Schizosaccharomyces pombe: one gene and its partners. The protein of the gene in region 3 purifies or fractionates together with the protein of the main gene of each other region. This does not show direct contact. Each region holds a gene or a part of one and is shown on either strand. Other genes may lie near its edges.

Region 1 (5,359 bases), 2.3 Mb from region 3:
TTTTAAGTCTTTGTAAGATATTCAAAAAATCAACTGTATACTTATAAATCGTTCTGCTAATCTCTTATAAACAACTCTTTTTTAGGTTAAAGCCGATACCAAAGAGATGAAATGAACTTTTCCAAATGATTGATGTTACCTACTTCATCAACAATTGCCTAATTCTTGACAGTATATTGAATACGATGGATTAAAAGTGGTAATCATTTTGAAAGGGACCATTTATGCAATAATATCATCCTTTAATTGTAGTGAACATAAAATACTTAGTTACTATTTAGACTAGTACTTTTTTTAGAAGAGGACTTCGTTATCCATGAATTAAGAAGCTTGTTGCGCTTCAATAAGCTTATTCACTTTGGCTGTTCTTTTCCGTTTTATAAAGTGTTTCTTACACGAAATAACTACTTGTATGCATTCAATTTCTTGCTTATAAGTTTTTTGCTTGTCTTCACAATCGGTGGAACTTGAGCAAATTTTCAAGTACTTAAATAAGAATTGGCTGTTGAAGGTCAATTAATTAAGTGTTGGGTTTGCCTTGATTTCGATAAATACCATAAAACTTGTCTATATTATTTATTTTCTGTGTCAAATTTTAATGAGCCTTTCCTTCTCTATTTTTTTAATTACCAAGTCTATCATTTTCATTTAATTTTACAATGTCATCAGCGAAAGTAAGGTTCATACGAATATGCATGAGAACCTAAGCGTCAGTCACTAACCCCTTTGTTATAGTATGTAGTGGGCAGCAAACCAACGGAAAAGAGACCCAAGGATATAAAAAGCATTAAGTCTGTGCCGATATGTGAAAAACATAGGGCTAGTGTAGTAAAAGATATCTCTCGCAAGATCTCTCGAATTCAAAGTGGTACGTCCTAGATTGTTTTATTAGCAAATTTAATTAACTTGCTAAACTTGATTCCGCTTTTATCATTTCTGTGTATTCTAACCATGAATAGCAACGTTGCCTGAATATCAAATTCGAGATTTGAACGATGCAATTAATCGATTGATGCGTGAAAAACACGAATGGGAGGTACAAATTCGTGATCTGGGTGGGATTAATTATCTGTATAATAAAGCAAAGCTATTTGAGGATGAAGGAGAACAAATCAGTGATATAGACGATTATCGTTATTACGGAAGAGCTCGAGAGTTACCTGGCGTTAAGGAACTTTTTGAAGCTGATATGAGTTTTATACCGGAAAGACAGCGCAAACAGGAGATGCAGAAAAGAAGGTTAGACGCCTGGTACTTTGGTTACATACCGCCAGCACAAGAGAGTCTATTAGAAGATTTTGAGGCAAAGATTGAAGAACAACAACATAAACATCTTGAGAACCTTGGTGATGAAGTTGAACAAGATTGGAAACCTCTTGTCATTGAGCAAATACCAACTAGAGACGATGTTGAAGCCATTCTTTTAGAAAGGCGTAAAAATGCTTTGCTGAGCAGAATTTCATAGATTATGAAGTAGGACTAGGATAGGAGAATTAATTTTATATTTTAAGTCTGCTTTGACATCGTAAACTATGAAGGATTTTTTAAAGAGATAAATAATTGGGATCTTCACAAGCTTCGTATTCATTGATCAAGTCGGCAACGACGTCGCTGTCAAATACATTAGTAAATTAACTCAAAATATGAAATTATAAGACAAGATACTTACCGAGAAGAATCGAATTCGTTAAGATCATCTTCGAAAATAGCCTCCTTTTTATATTGCTCTAAAAAGGCATTTCGTTTCCGCAAACGATCATATTGATCTAGTGTTCTCTTGAATAACTACAAAGATTAGTATTAAATGTCTCAAAAAAAAATTTGCAGAAACATACAGAGGCAATACTAGTGTGATTTGCAAGCATAAGTCCACTAACACGGTGGTTCGTTTTTATATAGGGCGACTTTTTAGAAAGTGCAACTTGTATACTTGCTGGTCCCCAAGGAATGAATGAAGCGTATCGTCGTTCTCTTATGCGAAGCAAGGATTTGTGAACGTCCGCCGGATCTGCTTCTCCTTGAATGATATCCAAAATACTAATAAAGCAACTCTTTTTGCTAGGATTGACGGAAACCATCTGGTTTTTAGGCAACAACAACCTTCTCATCACATCAAGCACGGTAGTTTTCCGAATGGCCTTTGCTTCTTCCACTTGCTGATTGGTAAAAGGAGTGTATGAGGTTAGTAAAAAGTGACAGCGAGGACTTGGAATTAATGAAGCTATTATACTGACAAGATCGTTGTTCATGTAGCCAGGATATCTTAAAGTTGTTGTACTGGCAGACATAACAGTTGAAACCTAGAATAGTTAGTTGATGAAAAGACCTAATATAAATCAATTACCAATTGGTTTTGTTGATGAAACGTAGGGTTCTGAGTATGTAACCGATCAGCAGCAATATGAGCAAGTGCTGCATTGTCCAACACAACAACAGAATCAGCATTCAATGTCAGTCGCTTCAATGCAAGAAGACTGTTGTAAGGCTGAACCACAACATCTGATACGGATTGACTATTAGGGAATACTGAATAAGTTTGGATAATCTTCTTGGGATAACGATCGTTTAATCTCTCAAGCAAGAAAGAGCCCAGCCCAGAACCCGTTCCACCAGCGATAGAATGTAAAAGCGAGAAACCCTCTAGAGAATCACTTCCATCAGCTTCACGATCTATCATGTCCATTATATCTTCAAAAATCCTCTCAGCATGCGAATAACCATTAGCCCAATTATTGCCAGCACCTCCTCCATTTTTGGTAATAAGTATATTTTCGGGATTATAAAGGCTGCCGTAGGTGTCGCTTAGAATATTGTTGACCACCTAAGGTAAAGAGGACATTAGTCACTTGAATATTTCAGCAAATACTAATAAAAGGATGCGATAACATACTCTTGGTTCCAGATCAATCAAAATGGCTCTAGGAATGTATCTAGTATCATCAGACTAAAATGAGTTAACATGTTGAAACTTTAAAGTGTATCAATAAACCAACCTGGTAGAAAAAAACGTCTTTTCGATCAACACCCTCAGTTGCGAAACTTTCTAGCGTGCCATCAGGCCCAATGCCATGTTCCAAACACAACTGTTGCCAGAATTGTGAACCAACTAGACAAGTTTGTGAGTAATTAGAATTTCGATTTGATTAATAGTAGTATAGGTGAACATACTTTGATTACCACATTGACCAGCTTGTAACGTAATGATTTCTCTGCCCATGATTAAACAATGAAGGAGCAAACAATCTTTGATGTTTGCTTCTTACTTAAAAGTACAACCGCGAAAGATTTTTTGCTGAAATAGGTGGTTTTCAAAAGAAGGGTATCTTGAGGTATTTCGCTGTGCTTGGGTGAACTGTAGGTCGATAAGAGAAGGTTGGTAGTAAGAAAAGCAAACATTTTCCAGGTCAACTAGACTAGATTATTATAAATAATTACATATTTCTTGACTATAAATTTATCAACCTTGGAGCTGATTCGAGCATTGCTGCAAAATTCAATTAGGAATGACAATTTTTCTAACAGGAAATTAGAAAGCCAAAGTAAGTGAATTTAGAATGTGTCATAAAATTTAGTATTGATTACTATCGTATCTAAATATTTCTAAATCATTTAGTACATTATTTCGTAAAAAATATATGCAACTTTGAATGTAAATATTAAAATTGAAAGTAACACAATAGACACAATTTATGAGTGTTCGAATAAAAAAATAATAGTGATATAAAATTAGACAATTCATGTGGATACTCAAACACTGAAACAAATGATTTTCCAAAAACTAAAAGTATTTTTGAAGACAATTTTATCTTAATTAATACAGATTGTAGAAAATGAAAAATTAACAAATAATTATTTGGCAAAGGTCTAAATATTTTACAAATTAATAAATAAATAAATTAATTGAAAGTAAAAAAAAAAATTGAACATAAATTTTTACTGAAATTATAATTAAGCTCAATAAGGTAATACCACACAACAACAGTTTGATTTTAATATTTATTTAGCAGGTGTAACATTTTTTTTTATTAACAACAAAGTTGCGAGCTTGTAAAATTGGGTTTTAACTTAAACCAAGATTTATTAAAAAAAGAATGTAAAGAACGACGACATATTTACAATGTTTGGAATTTAAAACTTAATAATAGAAACCGAATATCAACATTTTCTATTTCAAAAAAATACTGAGCATTTCTTAATAGTTATGCATATATATATACCTTTTAGCAAATGATTCCAACTAGCTCTTGTAGCTCAGTGGTAGAGCGCTTGCCTAGTAAGCAAGAGGCCCAGTGTTCAAGTCACTGCTGGAGCATAATTTTGATCCTTTTTGCTTTTTGCCCTTCAAAGGGCAAAAAACAATACTTTTAAGATAATACATAAATAATCTATCACTGATACCTTTTTCTACATCCTACTAATTTATTTGTAGATTAAAGTAAAAAAGTAGTTATACGGTTCCTTGTTTTTGTCAAATAATTTGCCTGTGTCCTATATCTTGTTGCAGTGCATATTCTTTTGGATGGAAGAAATCCCACTCTTAAAGTTAGAAAAAGGTTTCGCTTCACTTTCAACTTTAAGATAAACAACATCGGCCATTGGCAATCTCGTCTACTATTATTTTAAACAAAAGGTAGCAAACCATTACTAGGTGTTGTAACTAACGCAAACTACTTAATCGTTTGCTGCTACAATCGCCCCATACAATGTTTAGATACCTATACTGTTTAAGTATGAGTCTCAGCCATTCTATGCATAACCTTTACAAATACGAAATTTGAAATATTTTTACTAAATAGCAGCAAAAATTTCTGTCATTTTGGTGGTATGTTGACAAAAGACAATGGCAGTATACTGCGACATATCCTTTTTTTAACTTTAAAAGCAGCAAACAAAGGAAAAAGAATGTGAGACTGATTAAATAAATAAGATTTCTTTTGATAAATGCGATCCGACTTTTCTTCCTTGGAATTTTTATTAATTTTACGTAAATTTCTCTTGTTAAAAGATCGTGTTGACCCAAACTAAGGTCTGATGTCATTATGAAATAAGGTCAGCTGGAAACATAAGTAGGACGGTCAGCCGCGCTACACCTTACTTTCAACCTACTCATTCTATTAGTATTGAGTTTTGTAAGTTAAAATGTCTCATTTCTACGACTTGGCTCCTAAGGACAAGGATGGAAATCCTTTTCCTTTCAGCAACTTGAAGGGTAAAGTGGTCCTTGTTGTCAATACAGCGAGCAAATGTGGATTCACTCCTCAATACAAAGGTCTTGAGGCGTTGTATCAGAAATACAAGGATAGAGGATTTATCATCCTTGGATTCCCTTGCAATCAATTTGGAAACCAAGAACCCGGTT
Region 2 (3,990 bases), 3.4 Mb from region 3:
GATTAATATTTTTGAGGTTTTTCTTCCACAGCTACTCCGTTATCCTAATGCGTCGGACCCTCTAAATGGAGAGGCAGCAGCTCTATTATTGCGAGAGCCGAATACCTACTATGCCAAGGTTCGAGATTATATCGCTCGGTATGCTAATAAAGAAGACGCTGATATAACTTTGAACGACTCTTCAGATGATGACACCATGTCTTCTATTGACACTGAATCTGGCGATGAAATTGCTGGTCCAATGGACTCTGATTTTTAAATTTCGTTACGTTGCTTTGTTTGATATACATTGATTCTTTTTTGAATTCTCTTTATGGATACTGATTGTGGCATTCAATAAACCGATGGATAGCTAAATCTGTTACACTTTTTTTTCTATTGATGCATTGAATGATTCTTTTTGCATGCTGTCGCTTGCAAAACCCGTTTGAATTTGCTTTCAATCAGTAGTCGTGACAACGATATTTAATAGGTTTATTTTCTTGAAGCTTCAAGTTACTGCAGCATAATTTACGACTATAACTCCATGATGCATAGTTAATGAGAACTAATATTTAAATAAAATAGAAAAAAAATATTAAATAAATACATTGATCATATCTACCTATAAATTAAGCTGAACAATCAGCGCGTTAATTATTTCCCTATCATACGATGGATCATTTTCTTTCTGTCGTATGCATTCAATCGAATGAGATACGTGAGCAGCTAACTGACAGTCAACTTTCGAAACTTCTTGACTACGAAATAAAGAAAGCTCATGGTAAATCGAGTTTAAAGAAATGTGTAAATCATCATCGTAAAAAAACAACATTTTCTTAGCGTAAGTCAACGTTAAAGCATGCAATTGAGAACAGTCTTGCATACGTAACTTTTGTGTTCTATATAACTCAGTAAGAGATTCCCGTAATTTACAATATGACGGCTTTATAACACATTCGTAGGCATAATATTGTAAAGATGATAAGAACCATAAAGTCACCCACAATTGAGTCCATGGTTGAGAAATACCTTTGGCAGTATACTCCTTTCTTTCGTAAAAAAGGGATTTGATTTTAGTTATACTTAAGTGTAAAGAACCTAGTAGTATCCATAAATCGGAATACACATTTAAAGCATTTTTATCCATAAACAAATTGAACGGCCATTTTAAACACAATAACAGTTGCATATTGAGTCCCTCTACATCGATTTTACGATTCTCAGAGCGAATCATTTCATCTTCTTCATCAAAGATACTTACAAGTTTTAGAAAAGATACACATTCTCCATATTCAGTAGCGAGATCAAGTAAAGAAATAGTTTTCCTTAAAACAACGGGTAAAATATCATCAATTACTACCCCTTGAACGTCATTTGAACTGCAATATTCACCACGAACGTCTCTGAACATTTCAGATAATGTTGGAAGAAACTCAACATTTTCAAGTAACATCACCATCTCTAGCATTTTTACCAAATCGAAAATCTGATGAAACGAAGCTAATTGAAATATTATTTTTTCTGATACCAGAGTGAACATTTCATCTGCTAATTTTGTCACTGAAGATTTCGTTAAAGGCAAAGGCATTTCATATACCAGTCTGTAGAAACATCTAAGAATTTCACAGAAAGCGTCTGTGAAACATTTTTTTGCATTGAGCATACACGTTCGTATTGAAACTAAGCAATTAACGATGTCTTGGGTCAAAAAAGGGACATTATTGCTACAAGATACAAAATCTTTAGTATCACCGCATAAAAACGAACATTTGAAGCTGTCATCGCCGGAATCATTTACCAAATACTGCACTAATTCGTCAAGCCAAGTCTTCTGAAAAGCACATTCACACTCTAAAACCAGCTTTTTAAAATTCAAATGAGTAGAGCCCATATACATATTATGCAGCTTTTGAAACGTAGAAGCTACACTCAAGCATTGAGAAATATTACCTTGAAGTACTAGCAGACTAGATAAAGTTTCTTTCCAATCTGCTAAATGCGCTTCTAATTGCGCCAAGGATACGAATTTTCCGGAACCTACAAAATAAGGATCGCTGGATATAATCATCCGCTCTAAATTAGCTAGACTTTCATCATAAAGAAATAATTTTTTCGAAAGCAGAAGTCTAAGAGCTTTAAGAAGAAACTGGTTTTGCTGAATCAAATCTTCATCAAAAATTTCAATATATCGTTCTATCCTTTTCCTTTTACTTGCCAAAGATACTATGTCATTAATTAATTCTCGTTCACCAGGGTGTAATGGTTGAACAGATGGATGCAGTAGTATTTGACCATTTTTCTCAATAAACAGGCCAGAAGTATTCCCTGCGAGCAACAAAATAATCTCATGCAACATATAATGTATTTATTGTTACAGAGTTTGCATGAAAATATTCAACATATAGCCAATTTAAGTAAACTACTCCAAAGGAGGCTTTCGTAGTAAATGAGATAAATAGCTAAAACTTATTCGTGTTACTTTGAAGGTAACGACTAGGGAATGTCTTGCGTTGTTACAATGAACAATAATCAATGTAGCATTGCATATAATTCAATTAATATATATATATATATATATATATATATATTATTTTGTAATAACCTAGTAGGTACTGTTTATCTTAAACAAACAAAGTCTCAGACGAGCGAAGGTTTAACGACATTAATTTTGGGCAACAGGTAAACACAACACTTTAAAATTGATTAGAAGGGGGAGGTGGTCCACATGGCATGATCATTTTTTCTAATAGGTTTTTGCGAACTTGGACTCTCGGTTCGCCGAGCGCCGTTGCCATATATGCGAGCAACGGTGGATGCCCCACTACAGAAGACAAAGTATCCCGGTGCTGATTTACCATCCATTCACTAGTTTATATGGTGAGCGAAAATTCATTTGTCAAATAAACCGATTAGTACTTACTATTTGGTGGTAAACGCATTACCGACACCAACATAACGCGCTTGTAACTGTTCTAGTTTTGCTTGAGAGCGCAACCTGTCTGCCTACAATCGTTAATAAATGAAAGAAGCATAGAATAGAGATAATTCAAGAATTTTTTTCTTACCATAGTATATATTGGAATATGTGGTATAATGTTCAGACTGGGTTTTTTTAACACATATTGTTAATTGAAACGAATAAGGTATAATACTGTAATTTGCAATTCTAAATTGCGATTTCTAGCGCACCAAAGCAACCACAGAAATAAACGTTTCAAAATAAACATTGCTATCCTTTGACCAAAAACCTGTAGTTGCAGTTTTTTGATAATAGGGAGCACTACACTTGAAGATGTCTTCTCTTGCATCTCAGGGTAATAATGCTTCAACTCCTGCATATCGTTATGGGTTTCAAACTTCAGAAGTTGGGGACAGGCCAACTGTAAGTATGCCTTCACAACCTGAGTCGAGTGCTATGCTCGAGGATGATGGAATGGTGAAAAGGAAACCTTTTGCTGCTATAGGAGAAGCCATACCAAAGGTAATTGATACAACCGGAGAATCAGTACGTGAAGCCTTTGAAGAGTTTTTATTGTCATTTTCTGATGACCGCGTTGCTGGAGGTGATGCTCTCCCTTCTGCATCACAAGAGAAATATTATGTTCAACAGATTCATGGATTGGCAATGTATGAGATTCATACCGTTTACGTTGATTATAAGCATTTAACCTCGTACAATGATGTGTTAGCTCTTGCGATAGTTGAGCAATATTATCGATTTTCTCCTTTCTTACTTCGAGCTTTACAAAAGTTGATTGAAAAGTTTGAACCAGAATATTATAGAAGTTCTCTTTCTCGTGAAAATGCTTCACTTTCACCGAACTTTAAAGCCAGTGACAAAACATTTGCTCTTGCATTTTACAATTTACCCTTTCGATCCACAATTCGGGACTTACGAACAGATCGTATCGGTAGACTCACGACTATTACAGGTACAGTTACTCGTACTTCTGAAGTACGCCCTGAATTAGCACAAGGTACTTTTATCTGTGAGGAATGCCACACTGT
Region 3 (5,440 bases):
GGATAAAAGCTTGGGATCCTTGTGTGTTTGGAAAATCTCGATTACAGCCCTCAAAGAGTATGCGTTTTAACCCCAGATTTACTAATATCACTTCTGATAGTGATAGACCTGATAAACGGATTATGATGCTGACTGGACTGGCAGGTGCAGGTAAAACGACTTTGGCTCATGTTATTGCTCATCAGGCTGGATACAAAGTTTTGGAAATAAATGCTAGTGATGATCGTACTGCTCATACGGTTCATGAAAAGGTATCCTCTGCCATTAGCAATCATTCAGCCTTGTCATCTCAACCTACATGTGTTATAGTTGATGAAATTGACGGAGGTGATCCTGCATTCGTACGAGCACTTTTGAGTTTATTAGAGAGTGACGAAAAAGCGACTGAGTATTCTCAAGCTGGTAATTCAAAGAAAAAGAAAAAGTTTAAGAAACTTTGTCGTCCCATTATTTGCATTTGTAATGACTTATATACTCCAGCACTTCGACCTCTGCGACCATATGCTCAAATAATATATTTTCGACCACCTCCTCAAGCATCTCTTGTCGGTCGTTTAAGGACTATTTGCCGAAATGAAAATATAGCTGTTGACAGCCGCTCTTTGACTTTGCTGACAGATATCTATAATTCTGACATTCGAAGCTGTATCAACAGTTTACAACTTTTGTCTTTAAATAACAAACGTATAGATTCTGAGACCATAAAGCTTTTGCAACCAAAAAGTAATTCTTTTAGTACTTCTAGTTTAATCCAATCTCTTTTTTTACAACTTGATAATAAACAAATACGTGCAATTGAAGCATCGCAACCTACTTACTCACATTTGGACGCCCTCCTTGCAAGGATTGATGGAGCTAATGATTCTGAATCAGTCTTGATGAATTGTTTTCATACATACTTAGATCTTCCTTTTACTGATAGCTTACTTTCTAAACCTGCTTTGACAAGCGAGTGGCTTTACTTTTTCGACCAACTTCATTCACAATGTTATAAGGGAAATTATGAGTTATGGAGGTACATACCTTATTCCATTATTCATTTTCATTATTTGTATGCAACTCCTGAAAAGTGCCGCCTTCCGCATCCTCCCAGAAGTGATTTGGAAGCTTTAAAACTTTATCGTACTCGCAAAGAAATATTGGATTCATTCATATCGACGCTAAATGCTTATGAAAATCAAATGCATGGAGAAAGATCAATTCTTTTGGAACTTATCCGTACAATTTTAATTACCATAAATCCTACACTAAAACAGGTAAGGTCTATATATTTTAAAAAAAAAAAAAAAAAAAATTGCGTGAAACAATATTTTTTTAATTTACTAACTTTTTATAGAAAGAAGATTCTATGCCAAGGAGCGCTTTACCTTCTAAAATTGAGCATGCGATTAACATTTTAAATCATTATAATTTGCGTTTCCAACAGCTTCCCGTTGGAGATGGCAACTATGTGTATAGGCTTGAGCCGTAAGTTCCAATATTTTTATTTCTTTCTAGTAATAGCTAACGTTGACAGACCTTTGGATGAATTGGTTTGGGACGCACCTACAAGTTCATATTCTGTTCGTCAAATGCTATCTCAGGAACTGCTCAAGAAAAGGCTCGCAGACATTAAAAAACAAACCCTAACGGACAACCCCACTTCTTCGAATTCTTCAAGAAAGCGCAAAGATTTTAATTCCGGAAAAGCAATTAAGAGAGATTTTTTTGGCCGTATCATTTCTGAACCAAAATCTGAAGCAGTTACATCGAATAATGCAGCTTTGAATACAGGAGATCATCCAGTTTCCATCAAGCATGCAATCAATATCAAATTTCACGATGGGTTTTCCAATGCTGTGAGAAAACCAATATCGTTGAACGAGATTCTGAATTTCTAATCTAATGTGCATTAATATTTTTAATTTCAATCTTTTTGAAATAAAATCAATCATTTAATTTAAAAAAAAATCACTAGTAAAAATAGGTGTATGCGTAAATTCATCTAACCATTATTTCCTGACCGCGACTTCGGCGTGTACTTTGTCAATGGCTTTAAGATTTTGAGTTAACGATCAATACTTGTATTTCTCTATTTTAATTCAAAAATAAAAAAAATACTTTCGTCATTTGAAGTTCTCAAATGTCGGAGATTCATGTGAAAACTGCATTATCACGTCTGGCGGACAAGTATTTACAGAACTCCAAAAACCCTTCTGTCCCTTACACAATTGAAACGATCGTGTCTTTCTTTCAGGAAATAATTCACTCGTAAGCTAATTTCGTGTAAATGATCATGCTAACTGTTAGCATTTCTCCTGATACTTTTCAACTGGACATTGATGACATTCTGTACAAAATATATTCAAAAAGTATGTGAAGGTCTAAATACCAAAATTAACAGTTTTTTAGTTCCCCCCGAAGAAAACAATGATGCTTTATTTTCTAAATTATCTAACTTAGTTTCGCGTTTGAAAAGTCAAACGGTCATTCACAACAAATCTCAAATACTCTATTTCTTATACTTGCTCTCTCCTATTTCTCAGTCATCAAGAGATGTCTCCTCTCATTTATTAGATGAGTCTATTTCCAATCCTATCAATATTCCATCAACAGAAGTGGAATCCTCAAACTTTGGTCAGACACGTTACGATCAAGTTCCTGAAAACCCCCAAATTACTGATTGGGATGAAGGATTGGAAAATGAAAGTTCTATCTCAATTGCTCATGATTCATCTAGGCTAAACCGTAGTACTGAAACTTCTTCTGTTCAACATACTTTGATTACAGAAGCCGATTTGTTGTCTTCAATATCTTACGTACTTCAAGGAATTTCTACCGAATATGTTCAGTTTAAAAATGAATTAGCGCTGTTGTCTAAGAGAATACCTGTCCAATACCTTTTACAGATGCGAGCTCTTTCAGAGACAGGCTTATTATATCAGGAACTAAAGGTTTTCAGCAATTATGATCCTTCGGTCAGTCAATCCATTGATGGTGATAACGTTAGTAAAGCATTTATAAACGATCAGTCTTTAGCTTTACAAAGTTTAAAATCGGTCATTTCTAAAGAGCTGACTAATTTCCTTGCGTTAATTGCATCTCTGGATTCACAAATTCGAGCAGACGCTTCACTTGAGAAGCCTATGGTAACTATCCGGCGTTGCATTGCCTGGACGCAAGTTGCCAAGCTAAAACTTAGAATTTTGTCTTCAGTTGTTAATGATAATATGAACCAGGAGAATAAAAAAAGATTGATTCAAGTGGTTTCGAAATACAATGTGCATGGAGATCCGCTAATACAAGAATTGAGTGATAAAATACTAACAGAAATTACTGGACCTTTATACGAAATGATTGAAAACTGGATTTATAAAGGAGAATTGGTCGACCCTTATCAAGAATTTTTTGTTAAAGAAAAAAATGGTAGTGAAAGCCATGATCATCAAGGGCAAGGTGATGTCGTCTGGAAAGGTAAATATTTTTTAGACAAAGAGTTAATACCAAGTTTCCTTTCTGAAGAACTTGTCGACAAAATCTTTTTGATTGGAAAGAGTTTAAACTTCGCACGTTATGGATGTGGTGATTTTGACTGGGCACAAGAGCATTACCAGAAGCTAGTGAAAAAACTTAGTTATAGAGACCCTCATTCATTAGAAACAGTGGTTGATAAGGCGTATACTGAGTCCATTAATCACTTAGTATACTTGATGGAAGAGGTGTTTCATTTGACTGATCATTTAAAGGCTATCAAAAAATACCTTTTACTAGGACAAGGTGATTTTGTGGACTTATTAATGGAGAGCCTTGGTAATTCTTTGGATCAGCCGGCTAATACTTTGTTCAGACACAATTTGACTGCTTCTTTAGAAAGCGCCATTCGTTCAAGTAATGCATCTTATGAACCTGAATACGTATTAAAAAGATTGGATGCTAGGCTTCTGGAGCTTTCACATGGTGAAACTGGTTGGGATGTTTTTACGTTGGAGTATAAAGTTGATTCACCTATCAACGTAATAATAACACCATATTGCTCTAGACAATACTTAAAAATATTTAACTTTTTATGGAGGTTGAAACGAATTGAGTTTGCCCTTGCCCATTCCTGGAGGCGAGTAAATTTGGGCGAGCGAAATGTCTTCAGAAATCTGGATTACACAAAATTCGAATGGCATTTTGTCAGTTGTCATCTTGCGGAAATGATTCATTTTGTTTGTCAACTTCAATATTATATACTCTTTGAGGTAACGAAAAACCAAAACCCAATTTTGCATTGTATACTAACCATTGGAAACAGGTTATCGAAATTAGTTGGCAAGAATTACAGCTTGCTATGGAGAAACCAAACGCTACATTGGATACGTATATAGAGGCACATGAAAAATATGTTACTAGTATAACTCATAAGGGCTTGTTGGGTGGTGGTAAGTCAAGGAATGAAGATTCCTTCCTTCATCAGCTTCATGATATACTTAAAGTTATCTTAAACTTTCATGATGCAATTGAGTTGTTGTATAACTTTTCTTGCTCCCTGTCGAATAGAATTCGCATTAATGTACCAATTTCGACTGATGCTTTGGCAGCTCAATACACCCCTATAAAAAATGAACTCTCAAATTTTACTGAGGAATTCCAGGTTCGACTTCAAAAATTATTACATGGATTAGCTTCCCATAAGGACCCAGAAATGCGCTTTCTTTCCGTTCGTCTCAATTATAACGAATTCTACGTTTCTCATAGACGGCGTCATGATAAGGATGTTACCAGTCAATAAATGAGGTTCATGCATGATTATTTAAACTTTTATTACTCGTAGTAAACTATAAATTTAGTTATTAATATTTAATGTGATTTAACTATCGTTCAGCGGTGCTGTTTAATTTGCCTTTGCCAACCACCAACACCACCCACCCATTTGGTTAACTTTTTTCAGCAACCACATATACGGATATCATGTCCGCGCCTGCTGGTAGACTTCAACCTCAGCGTTTTGCTGCTTTACCTAATCCCGTTACTGCTGAAAATAAATTTTGGCGGTCATTCAAGGTTCCTGTCGTTGCCAAGGAATATAGTGCTATCACTAGTATTCATTTTTCCGCTGAATCCCCTTATGACTTTGCAGTAACTAGTGGGGCTCGTGTACAAATTTATGGAGCTAGTTCAAGGTCTGTTAAAAAAACAATTGCTCGATTTAAGGATACCGCATATTCTGGTAACATTAGAAAGGATGGAAAACTTTTGCTTGCAGGAGATGCTACAGGACTTGTACAGGTAAGTCTACATTACCAAAAGCTTTGAAAGATAGTTGCAATTAAAACGTTGATAAGCTGCACATGGAATTTTGTTAGTTTAGTTTAGCTGATTGAAGCTGTCATTTGCTAGTATATAGCTAAAAAAATACCATTTTTCCGGTGTTTGTCAACGCTTTAAACTTACTTTAGAGGTTTTCTTGTTGCCATTG
Region 4 (3,160 bases), 2.8 Mb from region 3:
GAAATCCTCAAGCTTTTAAGAATAAATCTTTAAGAAATTTCAAAAAAAAACTAGATAGCCCCAAAATTCAAGAAGCAAAGAGAAAAGAGGAACCGTCCAAGTCTTGGTATTCTCTGAGGAAACGATGATTCACACTCAGTACTAGTAAAGGCTAAGTAACTGATGAATAGATGTCATACATACTGAATCGTTATTAATAGATAACGCGAGTTAATGTTTATTAGTGATAATGTTATTAAATACGGAAAACTCCGTTAACAATAATATTCCAGCTTCTCAACAGTCTTAAAAAAATTGAGGAACACGTCTTGACTAAATTAGAATTTCTAACTTTGATATTTAAAATGATATACACATTGTTCAATTCTGTTAAATTATTTGCTACTGTGTTCATTTTGTAGTCAGAAACCTACCTCAAGAGATGAATGTCGTTACCTTGGCATATAGAATCTTACCTCGCAAATGCTACCATCAGTTTAAAATGTTGATTTACTGCCGCAAAGTTTCAATGAAAACATCATTGCGAGCTGTTGCTATAGTGTATTTTGTTTAATGAATAAGAGAAGATGATTATATTTTAAAGAATGCAAAAGTATTATTAAATAAATGGATAGAATAGAGATGCGTCACAAAATTATAAATATTGGACATTAAAACAAACATAGGATTCACCGAATTATAGTTAAACAATATGGCCGGAATTTTGAGATTTATAGAACACATCAAAGCTTTGTTTTCTATTATCTCATCTAATAGGTAAGGATCATGCCAAAAAAAACAACTAAGGATTCACTCGATATGCAACTTGACAATCAATTTTGTGCATACTCGTACTAAAACTTCGTAATTGAACTTGTTCAGCATCTCTTAAAATCCTAGGGTCACTGTCTACCCAATCTGTTGGAACTTCGCTGTCTTTATCAGCGTATACCAAAACGTTAAACGTACACTGTTCTTCTAGTTGAGGCAAAAAGGTCACTGTAGCAGTGATTTGACGAATTAGAGCTTGAATTTCTTTTTGTACTCGCAGTTCATCTTCTTTGTTGCCAATGTTCTGAAATTGATCAGCTGTGTCAACCATCTCCACATTAAACTGCCACCGCTCTAAATCTTCACCTGAACATTTACTAGTAATTACCAAAATCAGTTTTTGAATTTTTTTTGCAAACATCCATTCTAAAAATTTGTTAATTCCAAAAGTGATAATAGAACAACAACTCACTGTGTAACTGAGATACAATTTTTCGAATGTAAGTCTTGACCTCTTCATCTACACTGACAAGCATATTTAATCCATATTTCCGAACAACTTTGAAGTCTTCTGCTGGGTAAATTCCTCGTTGAAAAAGGATTGAGTTCACCGCATATTCTTCATTAAGTTAGCATGGCATATTTGAAACATTTACAAACCAAAAAATTCGCTAACAAGTTTGGAAGAACCTTTCAGTGAAAAATTCGTTCTTATGGGAACGCTAGACATGTTGTGTTGTAGATTTTTGTAATAAGCAATAGGTTGTGTAGTAATTGAGTAGGTACTGCCATGATGGTTGCTTAGAGGTACCCTTTCAACGTAAAAGCAACCATATAAGCATTTAACAAACAAAAGTGAAAACTTTAATAATAAGACTACTAAAGCATTTACGCAAACTTGAAAGTAACTAATCTGTCATTTTAAACTCATTTCACTATCTCTATCATTAAAAGTCATTGATCGTAATAATGTCAGTTTGGGGACAAAATAAGTTCATCTCCTCTTTCAAACTTTAAAACATCTCTCCTTATTTCGTTATGGACTCTAAAGCCTTTTTCCAACATGATTATATAGCAAATAATAGCCCGACTCTCCATCTCTTTTTTCAAGAGCAAGTCTATAACGTCCATACAAACCCCTAAACTTAGTCAGTGAAATGTTCTATGTTTTTAATTAACTTACCTTTATTACAGGGGCAGGAAGCCAATGCTTTGGTGGTAATCGCCGAAACCCATTCAGTACCATTTAATCGCAAATTGAGAATCTTTAAATATATTCTCCAAAACTTGGCGACGGATTTCAACTTTTCATTATTTAGAGTGATATCCAAAGTCCTTAAAAAGTACTGTGAGTTTGTTGGCTCAATCTGTTGAACGGCAACATAAAAAAGGTACCAACAAGCTGTAACAACAGCATTTGAAGCAGATTTTAAAATTTTCATAGCCCTAATTTTTGGTTTGTTCTCTTGTCTCAACTTAGATTCAAAAAATATATAAACTTCCCATATAGCCGTATTTGCACTGAAAAGTGTAACTCCCTTTTCAAAAAAAGGTCGAACCTTGGGTAGATTATAGAATTGAAGAGTGGTAGCTTGATAATAAAAAATCAATGAACAATAAGAAAAATAGCATTCCATTTCTGAAGAAGCCCCCCATCCATAGCTTTCGAATTTTTGAATGCATAAATACACACAATTATCCATTGAATCCATATCAGTACAGTGTGTCCATATAGTATAGATAAGACAAACATACAGCAATTCTTCCTTGCTGGCGCAATTTTCCAACATACCAAATAGCATTTCGGATGCTCGATTATTATCGCTAGTTAAAGATTTATCACCAGGAAACAACAGGCATTTTATAATAACTAAGCATCCTTCAGTATCATTAATAAGTAGCTTTCTAAAAGCCCAGTTTTTGTATACATTTAAATTATCAATGTAGCGCAATTGGGAAGCATGGATCTGAAAAATTGTTTTAAAAATTGTTTCAGCCATAGTAAAAGCACCACTTAAGTGTTCCAATTGAGCGTAAGTGTTCCAAACAGACACTGAACTATCGTATTTTTTGAGAATCTTCTTTACAATTTTACTGAATTTGGTTAGAAGGAAACAAAAACATCTACTTACTTCACTTGGGGTTTCTCCTCACTTAGGTTCTTCGTCTCCATTTGCTTTAAATAAATTAAATAAACGCTCGCTAAATACTCATCGTCCGCCGAAAATACTAGTTGATGAAAAGCACGCTCCATTGATTCCTTCACATGATGTGCAAGGTTGTAATCAAATAACTTGAAATTTAAATTTTTAAACGACATAAGAGAAATGAAGAGATCAATGTATGAAGGTAGTATACTACAGGGAAATTGAAAGCTGTTTTTCTCAGCTATCTGTCCATTTATAAAGGA

The links.
Region 1: the proteins of alp6 (region 3) and gtb1 purify together in Schizosaccharomyces pombe (affinity purification with western blotting; 3 studies listed by BioGRID, with this or other methods). This does not show direct contact.
Region 2: the proteins of alp6 (region 3) and gfh1 purify together in Schizosaccharomyces pombe (affinity purification with western blotting; 2 studies listed by BioGRID, with this or other methods). This does not show direct contact.
Region 4: the proteins of alp6 (region 3) and mad2 purify together in Schizosaccharomyces pombe (affinity purification with western blotting, with the first as the bait; one study listed by BioGRID). This does not show direct contact.

What each region holds. Positions count from the first base shown.
Region 1 is NC_003423.3:2,789,328-2,794,686, reverse strand, and holds gtb1 (gamma-tubulin Gtb1), read right to left. Parts: upstream 3,337-5,359; 5' UTR 3,218-3,336; coding exon 3,169-3,217; exon of another isoform or gene 3,107-3,168; coding exon 2,994-3,106; exon of another isoform or gene 2,945-2,993; coding exon 2,891-2,944; exon of another isoform or gene 2,822-2,890; coding exon 2,345-2,821; exon of another isoform or gene 2,301-2,344; coding exon 1,836-2,300; intron 1,786-1,835; coding exon 1,670-1,785; intron 1,612-1,669; coding exon 1,545-1,611; 3' UTR 1,466-1,544; coding exon of another isoform or gene 960-1,465; 3' UTR 869-959; coding exon of another isoform or gene 736-868; 3' UTR 675-735; coding exon of another isoform or gene 660-674; 3' UTR 503-659; downstream 1-502. Other genes in the region: protein Cwf12, read left to right, coding at 660-674, 736-868, 960-1,465; H2O2 scavenger glutathione peroxidase Gpx1, read left to right, coding at 5,140-5,359. UniProt on the Schizosaccharomyces pombe protein: Tubulin is the major constituent of microtubules. The gamma chain is found at microtubule organizing centers (MTOC) such as the spindle poles or the centrosome, suggesting that it is involved in the minus-end nucleation of microtubule assembly.
Region 2 is NC_003423.3:3,882,281-3,886,270, reverse strand, and holds gfh1 (gamma tubulin complex GCP4 subunit Gfh1), read right to left. Parts: upstream 2,422-3,990; 5' UTR 2,339-2,421; coding exon 605-2,338; 3' UTR 544-604; downstream 1-543. Other genes in the region: ubiquitin conjugating enzyme Ubc8, read left to right, coding at 1-259; sap10 (splicing factor 3B), read right to left, coding at 2,676-2,847, 2,903-2,985, 3,048-3,050; MCM complex subunit Mcm6, read left to right, coding at 3,275-3,990. UniProt on the Schizosaccharomyces pombe protein: Required for proper anchoring of astral microtubules at the spindle pole bodies (SPBs), during anaphase, ensuring correct cell polarity.
Region 3 is NC_003423.3:480,389-485,828, reverse strand, and holds alp6 (gamma tubulin complex GCP3 subunit Alp6), read left to right. Parts: upstream 1-2,000; 5' UTR 2,001-2,122; coding exon 2,123-2,250; exon of another isoform or gene 2,251-2,289; coding exon 2,290-2,351; exon of another isoform or gene 2,352-2,391; coding exon 2,392-4,223; exon of another isoform or gene 4,224-4,276; coding exon 4,277-4,753; 3' UTR 4,754-4,881; downstream 4,882-5,440. Other genes in the region: Ctf18 RFC-like complex subunit Ctf18, read left to right, coding at 1-1,256, 1,337-1,467, 1,517-1,880; U3 snoRNP protein Utp15, read left to right, coding at 4,933-5,250.
Region 4 is NC_003423.3:3,292,595-3,295,754, reverse strand, and holds mad2 (mitotic spindle checkpoint protein Mad2), read right to left. Parts: upstream 1,481-3,160; coding exon 1,411-1,480; intron 1,370-1,410; coding exon 1,223-1,369; intron 1,177-1,222; coding exon 782-1,176; 3' UTR 560-781; downstream 1-559. Other genes in the region: nrl1 (NRDE-2 family protein), read right to left, coding at 1,723-1,889, 1,934-2,844, 2,883-3,160. UniProt on the Schizosaccharomyces pombe protein: Feedback control that prevents cells with incompletely assembled spindles from leaving mitosis. It interacts with the anaphase promoting complex/cyclosome (APC/C) thereby inhibiting APC/C-dependent proteolysis, a step required for exit from mitosis.